Callithrix jacchus: one gene and its partner. The protein of the gene in region 1 interacts with the protein of each later gene in a pairwise test. Links are inferred from orthologs where the notes say so. Each region holds a gene or a part of one and is shown on either strand. Other genes may lie near its edges.

Region 1 (9,109 bases):
CAAAAGCTTTTCTTCTTTTAAAAACAGGTTTTGTTTGAGACAGAATCTTGCTCTGTCACCCAGGCTGCAGTGCAGTGGCACAATGTCAGCTCACTGCAACCTCTGCCTCCTGGATTCAAGCAATCCTTCCACCTCAGCCTCTCAAGTAGGTGGGACTATAAGGTGCATGCCACCACACCTAAAAATTTTTTTTTTGCACAGATGAGGTTTCGCTATATTATCCAGGCTGGTCTTGAACTCCTGGGTTCAAGTGATACTCCTGCCTCCTGCCTCTGCCACCTAAAGTGTTGTGTAAGCCACTGCACCTAGCCAAAAGAGCCTTTTTTTTTTTGAGACAGAGTCTCGCTCTGTCCCCCATGCTGGAATGCAAAGGTGTCATCTCGGCCTGCTGCAGCCTCTGCCTCCTGGGTTCAAGAGATTTTCCTGCCTCAACCTTCTGAGTAGTTAGGATTACAGTTGCACATTACCATGCCAGGCTAATTTTTGTATTTTTTTAGTAGAGACAGGGTTTTGCCATGTTGGCCAGGCTGGTCTCACAGGCGTGATGAGCCCATAGCACCCCGCCCAAAAGCAGACTTTGAATGGCAAAAGTCTCATGGTAAATTCTGAATTTAGATGCACTCAAAGTTGTTTTCTTTTCCAAGAATGACTAGCTTTAAGAAATTTTGCAGCCAGGCGTGGTGGCTCAAGCCTGTAATCCCAGCACTTTGGGAGGACGAGGCAGGCGGACTGCCTAAGCTCAGGAGTTCAAGACCAGCCTGGGCAACATGGTGAAACCCCGTCTCTATCCAAAAAAAAAAAAAAGAAATTTTGCCCTAACCTTTAACAAGCTATATCTTAATATCTTTTTTTATTCTTTGAGTATAGAGCTACTAGAGATTTAAATTTCTGACAGAAGCCAACAAAAGAAAAACAGAAAAGCTTTTCCATTTACCCAGGTTTACAGAAGAGTAATTTGGAAGTTAAGAGAGCATAAGCTTTAGCTGCCAGTCTTAGCTCCAGCTCCCAATTCTACCACTTACTAGGTATGTAACTTTGGATAAATTCATTATCTATCCTAAGCCTCAGTTTCTTCATTTGTAGTGAAGATAATAATAGTCCTTTCCTCATAGGATTGTTTTGAGCAACTGCTTTTAAAGCACTTAACACAGAGCATGGAACTGAGTGGGAATTCAAATGTTAGCTATTAGCACTGTTAATAACATTCAGGTGTTAAACCACGTACTTCATGAAAATTAACTGGAATTGCATGGTGAAGAAACCAAATATCCCTCTAAAACAGCAAAGGCTGACATTCAAACCAGCGATTTATAAAAGAGATGCCCAATTACCTAAGGGTGTTGCTATTGGTTGTGGAGTTTTTCCTTTTCTTCTGTCAAGTCCAGAATTATTGATTTCAAAGAAATGAAGTTATTAGACTGTAGTCTCAAGCACTTCTCTAGCTCCTATCTTGCCCCATTCCTATGCAGACTGGCAAGTACCATTGCATAACAGGTGGCTTATGTTATTTTTAGGTATGTGCATCACAGGTTTAAATAAAACCTTGTTTTAAAGCAAACATCTACTCAATTCTTGGCAGACACTTATCTACTTCTAACTACAAAACACCTGCATTTAAAGGGAAATGTTTGACCCTGTCATTCCTCTTGCTGACCAATGCCATGTTCGAATCATTTCTATTTCCCAATCAACAACACATACCTGTAAATAAAGGGAAGAATTAGAGCCGTGGGACATCTTTTGCACCATCCCATCCTTTTGTAGGATGCATTCCTCCAAGTGAATCACATTTGGATGTTGGCTCTTGATACTGCTTAGTGCCCAGAACTCACGAAGAGCTAGTTCAACATTTTCAGGTGCGTGACATCGAATTTTCTTCACTGCCACCCGTGCAGAAGTCTTTCTGATGACTGCTTCATACACAACACCGTAACTACCTCGGCCTACCTCCCGTATTAGATCGTACTTTGGCTGGCTACTCACCATCTTCAAGGTCGAGGTTTCTGGAAAAATCAACAAAGTGCTCTGTTGAAATTATGTATACCTACTGGCTTGTATTTCCTTTTATATATGATTTGCTTGTCATCTGTTTCACTGTCTGCAGTGCTTGAGGGATATTTGCTATATCTAGGGAAAATCTAATTTTAAGAATAGTAACAATAAAGCTAACAGGTAGTATTTACTATGTATCAGGAACTGTTTTAAACTCTTTCGAATATTAAATTTGGTTAATCCTCATAATAATCTTATGAGGTAGATACTAGTATGGTCTTTTTATAGATGAAACTATGTAATGGAGAGGTTAAAGGAAATGCCTAAGGTCAATAGCTAGTAACTCATGGAACTGGGATTTTAAATCAGGCCATCTGCCTCAGACAACCACAATTTTAAGCACTACAGTATACTGTCTCTTGTATGAACTGCTTGAAAAATGTCACTGTTAAAAATACATTCCCAAAATTCAGCATTCTTATCCACTGATCAGGAAAAAACAAGCAAGCAAGCAAAATCCCAGCTTCTCCTTCAGGCTGACACAGACATAATGGTCATAAAACAGCAAAAACAAAACCCCCTCACAGTTAGAAATACAAACACCTGGCTTATGCTTAAGGCCTGACAGTGAACCAGAACATTTATAGAACTGAAAATGTTTGTTTTCATTATGCAAAAGTGGCCAAACTTTTATTCATATTTTAATTTTGTTTCTTATGTCATCTCCTTATTTCTTACAAAATAAATGAAAATAAACTTTATGGAGAAGAAACTTTTTTTTTGAGACGCAGTTACCCAGGCTGGAGTGCAATGGTGCGATCTCGGCTCACCGCAACCTCCGCCTCCTGGGTTCAGGCAATTCTCCTCCCTCAGCTTCCTGAGTAGCTGGGATTACAGGACGAGCCACCATGCCCAGCTAATTTTTTGTATTTTTAGCAGAGACGGGTTTCACCATGTTGACCAGGATGGTCTTGATCTCTTGACCTCGTGATCCACCCGCCTCGGCCTCCCAAAGTGCTGGGATTACAGGCGTGAGCCACCGCGCCCAGCCCGAAACTTTTCTTTAAAAATAAAGCAAGCTACTTAGAATACAGTTACCTTTTGTAGTCATTTAACAATAGCTATTTAAAATTTTTTACTTATGTTTCCTTTTTACTAATCAGAAGAGAGCTGGAGTAAACAATAGTTCTAGGTCATTTTTGCCAACAAAAAATATTCTGTGGGCCGGGCGCGGTGGCTCACGCCTGTAATCCCAGCACTTTGGGAGGCCGAGGCGGGCGGATCACTAGGTCAAGAAATCGAGACCATCCTGGTCAACATGGTAAAATCCTGTCTCTTAAAAAAAAAAAAAAAAAAAAAAAAAAAAAGTCCTGCATATCAATGGGCTCTCTAACAGAGTTCTTGGGAATTCAACTTAGTGAATGGTTTAAAGGCGAGAGCAAAGGCCCTATACAGAAATACTCATGTGTTGAATAAAGACAGTCTAAAGTGTGCTTCCTTACTCCCCAAAGAATTTCTAGATTCTAACGAACTTCACGAACGAATTCGCTTTTGTAGATTGTTGCCACGGGCAAGAAAAGTAACCTGAGATTGTACAATATTTATTCTGTTCAGCTGGGAAATGCAAAAAGCTACTGACCCTAGAGCCTGAGAAGTTGGGATCCGCTGCGTTAAGTCCATAGGATAGATTTAATCAAGAAAGGACTTCTGAGATTGCTTTCAGTCCCACTTCCTCTAACCGGACACCCACCCTTCAAATCGCTACCGAATTTCCTAGTGTCTGATTTCCTGCCACAGAATCCTCTGCCCCGACTGTACAGCAGACGAGTTTTCCTGCTCTTCGGCGATCGCCAGTCACATCCACTCAAGGTGGTTCGTGTCTCTGAAGCAGTCCCATGTCCTCTCCAGCCAGGTACAGTCCCCATAGGGAGGAGCACCTTCCCGAATAGGGAGGAGGGGTGTTTATGAAACCCGTGGGATCCCGGATCGAATGATGCATCCGGTGCGAACCTAAGCGACTTTCGACGGCAAGTGGCGGGACCTCGCTCTCGCCTTTCTAACCTGGCGCCGGGACGCGGGCCGGCCAGGCCAGACACCTGCCGGCGCCCGTGAAGGGCCAGTCCGGGCCAGAGGTGTTGTCCGACGCGGCGGCTCAGGCCGCGCTCATTGGCCAAGTGTCAGGCCCTCCCCCTCCTCGGCCGCGCTCAGATGAAGCCCGGAGGGGAGGCTCCCGAGCCCCTTTGCCCAGAGGAGCCAGCCCTGCAGCTGCCTCAACTCCTCGGGGCCGGGGGCTGAGGGCCGGGGCTTGGGGAGGTGGCCCAGGTGTGAGAGGAGGCCGCGGCTAGGGCCGGTGGCCTGAGGGGCGCGGGGCCTTCCCCAGGATGACTCCACTGACAGGTCTGTGACAGGCCTCCCGGGGAGGGAGGCACATGCAGGGCCGTCGGCACTGCAGCAGGGCCTCTCCACCACGCCGAAGAGCCAGATTTACCTCAGGGTAGACGCTGCCGCTTCTCCCTCTCACGGGCTCTGCAGGCCGCCATTATCGGGCAGCTCGCGCCTCCGCTGCAGCCGCCGCCTCCAGTCAGCGGCCGGCGCGCGCCCCCGTGGTGCGCGCGGACACACCCCCTTACGCTGGCGGCCCCGCCCCCCTCCGGCTTTCCGTAGTGCGAGCCGGTAAGTTCCGCGCCACTGATCAGGCGCGTGGCCGGCCCTCCGCTCGCCACCTCCCTCTCCCGAGGATTTGCAGATCCTGGAGTCGGAGGTGTACGCGCTACGGAGCGCACCACTGGTGCTGCTCTCCGCAGGGGTGGCCGGGTCCGAGAACCGCGAGGCCATGCCACGCGGGGTCTCGGTCACCCTCCAGCCGCAGCGGGCGCGTAGGGCACGCGGCCCCGGGGACGGTCTGCAGCAGCAGGCCCTGGCCTGGGGCTGCGTGCGCCCCGCCGTGGCCTCCCCTCCCCCTCGCCACCCCCCTTCCAACCTACCGAGCTGCGGGCTGGGATGCGGGGCTCGCTGGGGTGGTACGCCGCTTGCATCTTCTGCGCGGGCCTTGGGTGCTTGCGGGGCGCGGTGCTGCTTTGGCGGGCCCGCGTGGAGGCGCGGCCCGAGCAAGAAGGTCTGGCGTCCGCCCCGCCGGGAGGGAGGCTGCAGCTTTTGTCCGAGTCACTGAGCCATGTTTGCGGACGATGCAGTTGCCGAGAAGGCGGCAGCGGCGCGGGGCTGAGTGCGATCATCTGGGAAGACGTCGTCCCCTGCCCCGCCGGCGCGGTGGTATCTCCCTTAAAGAAGCCGGCGCCTCATTGTTTCCCGGTGGTGGCAGCAGGGAGCCAGGGCCCCCTGCCTGGCGCTGGGAGGGAGGGGACGGTGACGCCCGCACCTGGCTGCAGTGACCGCGGCGTCCCCCCGAGGTTCCTGGTGGAGGGTCGGTCTGCAGTCGGCGCGCGGAAGAGGCCTCGGTCCGAGCCCAGATCCACCGCGCTCCGGGCCCTTTCGAGACAGGACGGTCAATGGGAGTTCCGCCGCTGCTGCAGTCGCCCGGGTGCCACACGCTGTCAGTCAGATCCTGCACGCTGTCGGCCCCACAGCCAGCGCGGGGTCACTCAGGCCCGGACCTCTCAGTCATCCAGTTGTTAGATCAGTAAGCATCCGCCAGAAACGTCCATTCCTTCTTCCCCGATTTATTTTGCACCGATTACTTGTCAGCAAGGTGATGGTTCCTCCTCCTAGCGCTCGCTCTATAAGGCACGATGTATAAAGAATCCCTGTCGCTGTGCTCAAAGATCAACCCGTTTTATTTTCTGTTCTCCATTTATGCTATTTCTCCCGAGAGTCTGAGATTATCTTTACATATATAAATTATCTTGTTTAACCCTAACCTAACCCCACAAGGGGAGGTTTTATTATCCTATTTTTGCAGATGAGGAAACACCTCTGCCTCTTTTTACTGAAGTGTCTTTTTTGGGGTGTGTCTACCTTGAATACCCACTCCCCGGTGTAATACTCTGTCCCCTTAAAAAACCCCACATTGGTTCTGTAATCTGTTCAGACTTTTGTCCTGAGTGCCATCCAAGTGTCAGGTCTTCAGCTGTTTGCTGGAAACACTGGTGACAGGCCAAGACTTATTTCCCGCCCTCAAAAGTAAAGGGAAAATTTCGGGTCGCGGTGGCTCACACCTATAATCACAGCACTTGGGGAGGCTAAGGCGGGTGGATCACAAGGTCAAGAGATCGAGACCATTCTGGTCAACAAGGTGAAACCCCGTCTCCACTAAAAATACAAAAATCAGCTGGGCGTGGTGATGCGCGCCAGCTACTCGGGAGGCTGAGGCAGGAGAATTGCTTGAACCCAGGAGGCAGAGGTTTCAGTGAGCCGAGATCGTGCCATTGCACTCCAGTCTGGGTAACAACAGCGAAACTCCATCTCAAAAAAAAAAAAATAAAGGGAAAATATAGAAGGCTTTGTGTACACAGCTAGCTACCTGTGTGGGTTATTGATCCAAATCGGGAGGGACCTCTCTCAAAGTAGCGTTTGTGTTTTCTTTGTGTGTCATTGAATATCATAGGAACTCTTGCTCTCAAGTTAGCTGCAGATGAGATTTGAAATCCACCCTCATTCTCAAATTTAGGCTCGCTGTAAAGTCCGTGAGGTGGGTTCAGGTCTTGTGGGGCCTGAAACTTAAATAATTTGCGGTGTCCTTAGGGAAAAGGTTATACAATGGCCCTGTGAACACATACCTGGAACACTGGAAAGGGTCCCTATAAGCAAAGGACTCCAAAGCTAAAGATTAATTAGCTTCAGGGTGAATCTGCCTCCTGCTTAGTATGTTATGTCATTTTTTGTTGTTGTTGCCCGTAGGCCTCCTAAAAGACTGAGAATTCCTGCGGATAGGAATCTTTGTGATTCATCTCTGCAGCCTCCTCAATCTGATATGATATCAAAATACACCTGCATTCTCATACATTGCTGGTGGGAAGGCAAAGTGATATAACTGTTAACAAAGAAGTTTGGCAATATATAGCCATATTATTTGATCCAGTAACCCTAGATCAAATACTAGATTTCGAGGAATCTATCCTGGTAATATACTGGTAAACACACACACACACACACACACAACAACAAACCTGTATGTACAAGGCTATTCATTATTGCTTTAATGAATAGCAAAAGATTGGAAACCGCTTGCATGTCTAATAATAAAGAACTGATTGAATAAATTACAGTACATACATAGGCTGAAGTACTATACTGCTGCGAAAAGGTATGTGCAAGAGGCCAGGCGTGGTAGCTTACACAGGTACTCCTAGCACTCTGGAAGGCTGAGGTGGGCATATCACTTGAGGTCAGGAGTTTGAGACCAGCCTGGCCAACATGGTGAAACCCCATCTCTACTAAAAATATAAAAATTAGGTGGGCATGATGATGTGCACCTGTAGTCCCCGCTACTTGGGAGGTTGAGGCAGGAGAATCTCTTGAACCTGGGAGATAGAGGTTGCAGTGAGCCAAGGTCACACGACTGCACTCCAGCTTGGATGACAGAGCAAGACTCTGTCTCAAAAAAAAAAAAAAAAAAAAAGTGGGAAGTTTCTTATATATAGTAATATCAAATGATCTCTATGTTTATTATTAAGTGAAATAAGCAAAGTGCATACAGGGTTTATAGTATGCTACTCCATGTGAGTAATGAAGAGATAAATATACATTAAGTACTTATATTTAAAAGGTAAACAATGGAAGAATAAATCCCAAACTTCTAAAAACTAGTTGCCTATGTGGGCTGGAGGGGATAGGAATGGGAATGAGATGTCTATGAATGTATCTTATTATATAGTACTATTTTAGAAACTTGGAAACAAGTTTCTAAAATAGTACTTCCCATTCCCATTCTATATAAGCAGCTGAACACAGTGCCTCATGCCTGTAATCCCAGCACTTTGGGAGGCCGAAGTGGGTGGATCATGAGGTCAGGAGTTCAAGACCAGCCTGACCAACATAATGAAACCCCATCTTTATTAAAAATACAAACAAAATCTGCAGGAATTGGGTATGTTTTTAACAAAAATAAAAAATACAAACCAAAAAATTACCTGAGTGTGGTGGCACGCATCTGTAATCCCAGCTACTCAGGAGGCTGAGGCAGAAGAATTGCTTGAACTTGGGAGGCGGAGGCTGCAGTGAGCCAAGATCATGCCACTGCACTCTGGCATAGGCGAGAGAGTGAGACTCTCTCTCAAAAAAAAAGAATAAAGCATTCCATAAAAATTAAAAACAAATGGAAACAAGTGAACCATCTGTAATATCAGATTGGTGGGGTAACCACACAGAGAAAATAATTTCAAATGGCTTTTTAAGTATTTGGATTTTTTTTTTTTTAAAGACATGAGTTCTCATTCTGTCACCCAGGCTGAAGTGCAGTGGTGATCATAGTTCATTAACCTCCAACTCCTGGGCTCAAGGGATCCTCTCACGTCAGCCTCCTGAGGAGCTCGGACTATAGGTGTAGCTAATTAAATCTTTTGTAGAGATGGGGGTCTCACTATGTCGCCCAGGCTGCTCCTAAATTCCTGGACTCAAGTGATTCTCCCTCCTTTGTCTCTCAGGGTGTTGGGATTACAGTCATGAGCCACCATGCCCATCCTTGATTGTACCTTTCTAATGGGAGATAGTCTAAGGACAAATAAAACTCCATAGAAATACAATTGTATTAATTAGTCTTGGCTGGGCATGGTGGTTTACGCCTGTAATCCCGGCACTTTGAGAGACCGAGGTGGGCAGATCACTTGAGGTTGGGAGTTCAAGACCAGCCTGACCAAAATGGAGAAATCCCATCTCTACTAAAAATACAAAAAAAGTAACCGGGCATAATGGCACATGCCTGTAATCCCAGCTACTGTGGAGGCTGAGGCAGGAGAATCATTTGAATCCAGGAGGTAGAGGTTGCAGTGAGCTGAGATGGTGCCATTGCACTCCAGCCTGAGTGACAAGAGCAAAACTATGTCTCAAAATAATAATTAGTCTTATGGCTAGTAGTAACATTGATATTGCTATTTTGAAACTCTGATATTATAAGAAAAAAGAAATCAGTAATTAGGTCAATAGCATTAGGAACCAAGATTTT
Region 2 (8,344 bases), about 21 Mb from region 1:
TGCTCTTATAATAAACCAGAAATGTGTAATAGCTCAAAACCAGCATGACTCTTGCTCACTCATGAAAAGGCCCACACGATCTTCCCACATGGCAGGCAGCTCCTTGTCCTTGGCCACCCAGGGACCCCAGCTCGCCCCTGGTTGGTCCACTTGGCTTCTATGTGCAGTTGGTAGCAGACCATGGACAAAGCACTCCCAACGGCTTCTCTCCACTGCCCCAGGCGAGAACACGCAGCGAGGTGCTCCTTGACATTGGTGGGGCTGGGGAACACAGTCCTTGTGAAGCAGCTACACACGGCCCTCTCTATGGCCTGGAGGAGAGCACAGCCCTTGCTGGATGGCTGACCTTCCCCACCGCACAGGAGAGGAAAGCCCAACATTTCTGTGGCAGACACGTGGGAGCAGAAGTCCACTTGAGAGGAGGGAAGGGGCCCTTTCCCAAGGGCCTCAGTGGTTAACGGGTCTAAAAGAATGGACCTGTGCCAGGCACAGTGGCTCACACCTGTAATCCCAGCATTTTTGGAGGCTAAGGTGGACAGATCACCTGAGGTCAGGAGTTTGAGACCAGCCTGGCCAACATGGTGAAACCCCGTATCTACTAAAAATACAAAAAATTAGCCGGGCATGGTGGTACATGCCTGTAATCCTAGCTACTTGGGAGGCTGAGGTCAGAGAATCACTTGAACCCGGGAGGCAGAAGTTGCAGTGGGCCAAGGCTGTGCCACTGCACTCCAGCCTGGGCGACAGAGGGAGACTCAGTCTCAAAAAAAAGAAAAAAAAAAGGACCCAGCCTTACAAGCATTTGGGAGCATGAGACTGAGGCAGGATTCGGTTCCTCTATGTGGCTCCCAGGCATTGAGAAAGGAATCCGGTTTCAGGAACATAAGACTGCTTTCAAAATATGTTTTATTTCTTTTTTAAATGTATTTTGCAAAATTTCCAAGGTAAACATGAGCTCCACATATAGAAAAAAAGAGTTCTTTAAGAACTAGCATTTAGTTCATCACAAGAATAATCAAATTATGACAACGGAAAATAAACTAAAGCCACCAAGCTGAAGTGAAGAGCTGTCTTTACAAAGATCCCTCTCAGCGAGCCTCTGCCCTGCAGCTGACTCAAGCCATCATGTATGTACGTCAGTAAGAAAGGACACTGGCTGGGTGCGGTGGCTCATGCCTGTAATCCCAGCACTTTGGGAGGCTGAGGCAGGTGTATTACCTGAGGTCAGGAATTCGAGACCAACTTGGCCAACATGGTGAAACCCTGTCTACTAATAATACAAAAACTAGCTGGGTATGGTGGTGCATGCCTGTAATCCTAGCTACTGGGGAGGCTGAGGCAAGAGAATTGCTTAAACCCGGGAGGCAGAAGCTGTAGTGAGCCGAGATGACGCCACTGCACTCCAGCCTGGCGACAGAGCAAGATGGAGAGAGAAACTTCATCTCCAAAACAAACAAACAAAAAAACAACAACAAAGAAAGGCCACTGGCACAGTACGGCAGCTTTGCAATTTCAAAGACTATTTTAGTGTTAGCTCCCATGAGTACATCTTCCACAGGCATTTGGTGCTTTGCACTATAGACTGTGATGGGTCAGTTCTGAAGTATGACCAAGAAGACATTCTCTTGGAGACACACTTTATATAAATCTAGTAATGTGCTAAACTGTCAAAGGTTAATGGTACTAAGCACACAGACATCATCTGGTAAAGGCTCTACATTTCCGCATCATCATCATCATCATCATCATCGTCGTCTTTGGCTCTGAAATGCATTTTTCTGAACTCTCGTCTGCTCATTGAAGGACAAGATGAAGACGCAGGTGGGAGGTCCTTAGAGGAGAAGAAAACACGGACTTCAGTCACGAGCAACACACATTTGCATCTGCAATGCACCCATCCACTTGCTTTGGGGCTGCAGAGCACTCTTCCCTTTTAGACGCGGGAAAGTGACTGAGTCCCAGCACTTTCTCTAGATAAGAGCTTCCTCCTTACTGGGCTGATGAAGCAGAGAAGGGAAGATGCTGGGTTCAAAACAAAAGAGAAAGCAACAGAAAGTGTGGGATGGACGCTCCAGAAACCACAAACCTGATTCCATGAAAACATACCTGTGGCTTCGGGAGGAGACCGCCCCCCTTCCCCCGCCACAGCCTTTCCTCATGGCAATGATTCTCAGCTTGGGAGACGGAGGGAGTGCTCCCAATTAGCCAACGGTTTCATTTCCTCCTCTGGGGTTAAAATGATTAACTGACGTTGAATTTTTTGTCAAGGCATTATTTACATGCAGTAAGTGGGCAGTGTGCTGCTTGGCTGCCTGATGCCCTCGGAAAGAGGAAGGGGCCACTCTTACCTGCATGAGCTCAACGTTTCCAAAGAAGCGGCTCACGGGCATTGGCTGGTTGCTGTCATCATCTAGGAAGATGCTGTTGTCCATCTGAAGTGGTGGCTTCTGCATGTCCTCTCCCTCCAGCCCTGACTCATTCTGCTTCTGCACAGTGGAGCTGCTGTTGGATTCTTCTGCCCCTGCCCCAGCACTGTGTTTCGGCAGGGATAGGCCACCTTCAGTCTTTGCTAAGCGAGAGTCACTCACAGCTCTGCAGCCACCAAGGGGCAGATTTGCAGCCTCCTGCTGCACAGAAACTCCAGCCTCACCTCCTGGAAGCAAGGCCCTGCCTTCAGCAAACTCATCTTCACAAGGGGTCTCCGGTGTCACTTTTGGCAAAGAAGCGGTGTCATTCTTAGGGACAAGCTTCTGTAATTCTGACTTCACAAGATGACCTTTGTCACACTTGAACTTCTTGGACATTCGCCTGTCTGTGGCTTTGTGGGATGAGGAAGTCTGTCAAGAAAAAAATATCAGGGGACCAGACACATGTAGCAAATGAACCAGGCCTTGGTGCAGAGGCTAGTACTTCTCCTCACGTGTGAAATGAGAAGGCCACAACCTTCACGGATCGCCATTTCACTGTTCTGCCGCCAACAGACAAAATCCAAGTGAGGCTGCGACTGAATCCAGACATGCCCCAACAGCACTCCTCCACTTTGTTTTCCTAGAGGCATCACAGTTCCCGAGGGGAATTCTGAAGCATGGATTTATATATTATACAATTACAATGAAAGAACCAGCTTTCATGCATTTCTGCTATGGCAAAAGCTCCGTGAAGGCAGGGGTCTTTGCTTTATTCGCTGAATACTGTCTGGCACACAGTAGGTGCTTAAAAATATTTGCTAAATTGACTTTGACAAATTTTTACCAAACCCCTCATTATGAGCAAAACTGTGCTAGAGGCTGGCATATGGCCAAGTCCCAACCCCTCAGCTGCAGCTCTGGGCTCAGTGGCGCAGCTCTACTTCACCAGTAAGTTCAGGAACTCACTCCTCGGAAATGACAGCTACGCTAGGTTGAACGGCATTTGACGTGAGCATCCTTTTCCCACCCACTCTGCCTTTCTCTTAAAGCCTCTGGGGGTGAGGCGGCATGGCAACAGGCCAACAAGACTCAACAGCTGACCTAAGAGCAGAGCTACGAGCACAAGTGGTCTCAGAGCCTGGGTCTAGACACACACACACAGGTGGGCAGGTGCTAGGATAGAGCCTGGGTCTAGAGACACACACACACACACACACATACACACGGGCGGGCAGGTGCTAGGATAGAGCCTGGGTCTAGAGACAGAGAGAGAGAGAGAGAGAGAGAGAGAGAGAGAGAGAGAGAGAGAGACACACACACACACACACACACACACACACACACACGGGTGGCCTGTCGAGTGTGTCTTTCCCTGAAGACAATTAGAGTGCTGCCACCTTTTCATCTGAAATACTCCCCCTCTGGCAGATAAGCAACATTTGATATTTTCCTAAAGCGACACATCTTGGAATGACAATTTTGTATGAAAATGGACCCTTGAGTCAGGAACTTGGCGTTCTCCATGGTAACAGGGCTCACCAGACATGCTGTCTTGGCAGACGTGGAACCAGCGACTTCCTGGGCAGAGGCCAACCCGGTTGCTGAACAATTTCGGGCTTTCAGGCGTGCTGAAGACCGCACTCCACCTGTGAGCTAGATCAGATCGAGAGCCAGTCAGAGAGTGCTCTGCGGAAAGCAGCATGAATGCGCAGAGGAGAATTTCCCACTTACAGATAACCGAAGACAGCCCCTCCTACTCCCACGGAGTATCATCTTTGTGGAGACACCTGTGGCCTGAATGAGCAAATCCGAACAAAACTGTGCCTAGGTTTAAGATACAGGAGCTACTCTTCCCAGGATCTCAGAGGCTTGGGGCAATCTGGTCCCTTATCTTGCATGTTTCTAGTAACCACTATGTGTACATTAGTGGAACTTAAGTCAACTTCAAAGTGTTCAGAATAAGCAGGACATGCCCTCCCTGAGAGGGAGCTGCAACTTTTCTACATTGTCAAAGTTCTTGAGAAAAGGCAGCATGAGAAAACCAAAGCTTCTCTCCCTCAAATTAGAGTCCTATTCTATTAGTGGAAAGCAGCAAGCTACTGTCTCACAAATCTTCATATTAACAAACTGCTCTACTCCTCTTTCACTCTGAATGCAATGCAAACTCTTCTAATAACAAGAAAGAAATTAAAGACACAACACTTTAACTATTTAGGAATAATTTTAGGTTTTCAGAAAAGTTGCAAAAAGTAGTACAAAGAAACGGGTGTGATGGCTCACACCTGTCATCACAGCTACTTGGGAGTCTGAGGCAGGATTGTTTGAGGCCAGGAGTTCAAGACCAGCCTGGGCAACACAGCAAGATCCCATCTCTAAAATATTAAAAAAAAAAAATTAGCCAGGTGGGGTGGTGTACACCTGTAGTTCCAGGTATATGGGAGGCTGAGGTGAGAGGATCACTTGATCCCAGGAGTTTGATGCTGCAGTGAGCTATGACTGTCCCACTGCACTCCACCTGGGTGACAAAGACCGTGTCTCTGAAAAAATAATGATAAAAAAATAGTACAGAGAGTTGCTATGTAGCCTTCACTCTGCTTCCACTAATGTTAAAACAACTACAGGACATTTGTCAACATTCAGAAATTAGTGGCCAGATGGGGTGGCTCACACCTGTAATCCCAGCACTTTGAGAGGCCAAGGTGGGTGGATCATCTGAGGTCAGAGTTCGAGACCAGCCTGGCCAACATGGTGAAACCCTGTCTCTACTAAAGTACAAAAATTAGCCGGGCATGGTGGCGCATGTCTGTAGTCTCAGCTGCCTGGGAGAATCGCTTGAACCCAGGAAGCCGAAGTTGCAGTGATCTCAGATTGCGCTATTACACTCCAGCCTGGGTGACAGATGGAGACTCCATCTCAAAAAAAAAAAAAAGAAAGAAAGAAATTAGCAACAGCACAGTACTCTTCACTAAATTATAGACTTTACTTGTGTTTTATCAGTTTCTCCATGAACTGTTTCTCTGCTCCAGAATCCAGTCTAGAATATCACATTGCACTCAGAAGATGATACGTTTTAAAGCTCACCTTAAAACTCAAAAGAAATGAGTGTGGGTAGCAGAAGCAATAAATAGGAGCAATGCAGGCTGGAACGGCCAGGAAAGGCCCAAGAGCTACTGCCGACAGGCCCTAGAACTGGAACCCAGAGGGATGGATGAAGAGTGCTCTGCCCAACAGCAGATAAGAGAAATTAAAAAGGAAACAAGAATGACACACAGAAATAAGCCATCTTCACCATCAGCCCGTAGCCCAAGACAGCTCCGGAAGCCCTGGGAAGTGGCAGCTCCAAGATGCCATGATACTGTGGCAGTTGGAGTTGCATTTAAAACGGGGAAGAGCAGGCAGCAGCCGACAGGAGGCCAGGACACCTGCCAGCTATACACAAGACAAATCAGGTGCCCACAGGCCCGTGAAGCACCTGCTACCATGGCACACCAGGGGCTGGGCCTCCATCCTCTCATGAGGGCAGGGCTTTGCTGAGAGCCTCGGCAGACGTCATGATCACAGCTACACCAAGGGAGCTGAGGCAACAGAGGTAACAGAACTTGCTAAGAGTTGCCATAAACACCTTTCATTAAAATCCTCCCACTGGGTCTGAAGCCCATCTCTCTAAAATGTCATCATGAGCCTCATAGGGAAAAGACACCTCTGTTCTAGAAAGCCACTGCCCATTCTCTCCTCCCTGCTGGGACCCCTCCTCCAGACACTGCACTGCCCTGCGCTGGAATATGCTGTGGGGAGCCAAGCTCCGTGCCTGAGCAGCTTTAAAGGAACGGTACCCACATTTCAGATGAGAACTTGGGTAAGGAGCTTATAAGATTACACAAGTGATGCCTGGCCTCCAAATCTCTCTTCCATCACCATAGCTCACCCCAGATATGACTCCCAAAAACTGCCTGAGGTGGGGACTGAACTCTGTTCTGCACCTGCGGGTCTCAGCGTTCTGTGCCTGCAGGTCCGTGTTCTGCACCTGCGGGTCTCAGTGTTCTGTGCCTGCAGGTCCGTGTTCTGCACCTGCGGGTCTCAGCGTTCTGTGCCTGCAGGTCTGTGTTCTGCACCTGCGGGTCTCAGCGTTCTGTGCCTGCAGGTCCGTGTTCTCCGCCTGCGGGTCTCAGCGTTCTGTGCCTCCAAGTCTGCGTCTGTGTGTTCTGAGCTTGCGGGTCTCAGCGTTCCACGCCTGCGTGTCTGTGTGTTCTGTGCCTGCAGGTCCGTGTTCCGCGCCTGCGGGTCTCAGCGTTCTGCGCCTCCAAGTCTGCGTCTGTGTGTTCTGAGCTTGCGGGTCCGTGTTCCGCGCCTGCGGGTCTCAGCGTTCTGTGCCTGCAGGTCCATGTTCTCTGCCTGTGGGTCTCAGCGTTCTGTGCCTGCAGGTCCGTGTTCTCTGCCTGCGGGTCTCAGCGTTCTGCGCCTCCAAGTCTGCGTCTGTGTGTTCTGAGCCTGCGGGTCTCAGCGTTCCACGCCTGCGTGTCTGTGTGTTCTGTGCCTGCAGGTCCGTGTTCCGCGCCTGCGGGTCTCAGCGTTTTGTGCCTGCAGGTCCGTGTTCTGTGCCTGCGGGTCTCAGCGTTCTGTGCCTGCATGTCTGCGAGTTCCGTGCCTGCATGTCTGCGAGTTCTGTGCCTGCATGTCTGCGAGTTCTGTGCCTGCATGTCTGTGAGTTCCGTGCCTGCGCATCTGTGTGTTCTGCGCCTGCAGGTCCGTGTTCCGCGCCTGCGGGTCTCAGCGTTCTGTGCCTGCAGGTCTGTGTTCCGTGCCTGCTCATCTGTGTGTTCTGCGCCTGCAGGTCCGTGTTCTATGCCTGCCAGTCTGTGTGTTCTGCACCTGCAGTTCTTTTCCTGAAGCAGGTGCGTCTCAAAGATTCCATCAGCATCTTGGCAGCAGTGGTTCTGAACTCTTCATGTGTGACTGGCTCATCAGGTGACCTTTTGGCCCCTTCTGCAGAGAAAAGCCAGAGGGTCTGGTGGGCTTGGAAGCGCTGGCTGTTATAGACACCAGCCGGCCATCTGCTGTCCACTCCGGACTGACAGGAGTCAAAATATGAGAGCAGCTTAGCTTCAGTTTCACCATGGATTAACCACCTCCAAGGTGTCAACTCTAAAATATCAAGAATTGGTCACATTCTCACTTGCAGATTCTTGCTCTGCAGTTGGGCAGCTCAGATTGGTCCCACAGTCCAAAAACAAAAGACTTTGTCATCATTGACATCCTCCTCATTCTACTAGGTTGTTTAAAAACTGGAATATCAGAAGCACAAACACAGTTCCTCCAAAAGGGCTGGCCGAGACAGCTTGAGGACCTACTCAGACAAAGTGATGAGCAGTCCCAAAACAACCATTTAGAGAGCCTTTGGAAATGGTCCTACGGGCACCCAGCAAATGGAGAAAACTTGCTCCAGAATATCTACATAATTTGGTTAGGACATGGAGAGTCTGGGGCATTTGAGCTCTGTCCTGCTGCAGCCAAGAACACAGGGCCAGCTCCCCCGGCTCCCAGGCAGAGGGCTTTCTTCCTAGGGCAAGCAGGGCAGCAGTGTTTCTCTTTCTGCTCTCATCCCACTTGTTGCTGAGACGAGGTCCTGAGTGAGTAGGGTTGAGAAGAGGGACCTCCCTTCTGTTCAGACCCTATTTGTAGAATGGAGGCTTCACCTTGGCTCCATAAATCTCCCAGTGAACTAAGAAGACTGGGGCCCCATCAACCTTGTCCCTGATAGGAGGTGGTTCCAGACCAGGGGAAGCAAATGCGGAGGATCTCAGGCTGCTGCTAGATCCCCCGCCGCTCCCATTCAGAGAGAATCCTATTGCTGTCCATAGCTGCACAGCCTGGCTCCGAGGCTCTCATTGGGGTGAAAGGCAGGCAACTCAACAGACAGCTCTTAGAGTCTTCCCAAA

The links.
Region 2: the proteins of PDIK1L (region 1) and C7H1orf174 interact in binary tests that used the Homo sapiens proteins (3 or more experiments, as listed by UniProt). The two-hybrid records come from large-scale screens. The link is inferred for Callithrix jacchus from reciprocal best matches to the Homo sapiens genes PDIK1L and C1orf174.

Annotation. Positions count from the first base shown.
Region 1 is NC_133508.1:62,760,132-62,769,240, reverse strand, and holds the start of PDIK1L (serine/threonine-protein kinase PDIK1L), read right to left. Parts: upstream 4,510-9,109; 5' UTR 3,918-4,509; coding exon 3,743-3,917; intron 2,004-3,742; coding exon 1,702-2,003; intron 1-1,701.
Region 2 is NC_133508.1:41,763,476-41,771,819, forward strand, and holds the end of C7H1orf174 (UPF0688 protein C1orf174 homolog), read right to left. Parts: intron 4,062-8,344; coding exon 3,948-4,061; intron 2,838-3,947; coding exon 2,349-2,837; intron 1,832-2,348; coding exon 1,715-1,831; 3' UTR 890-1,714; downstream 1-889.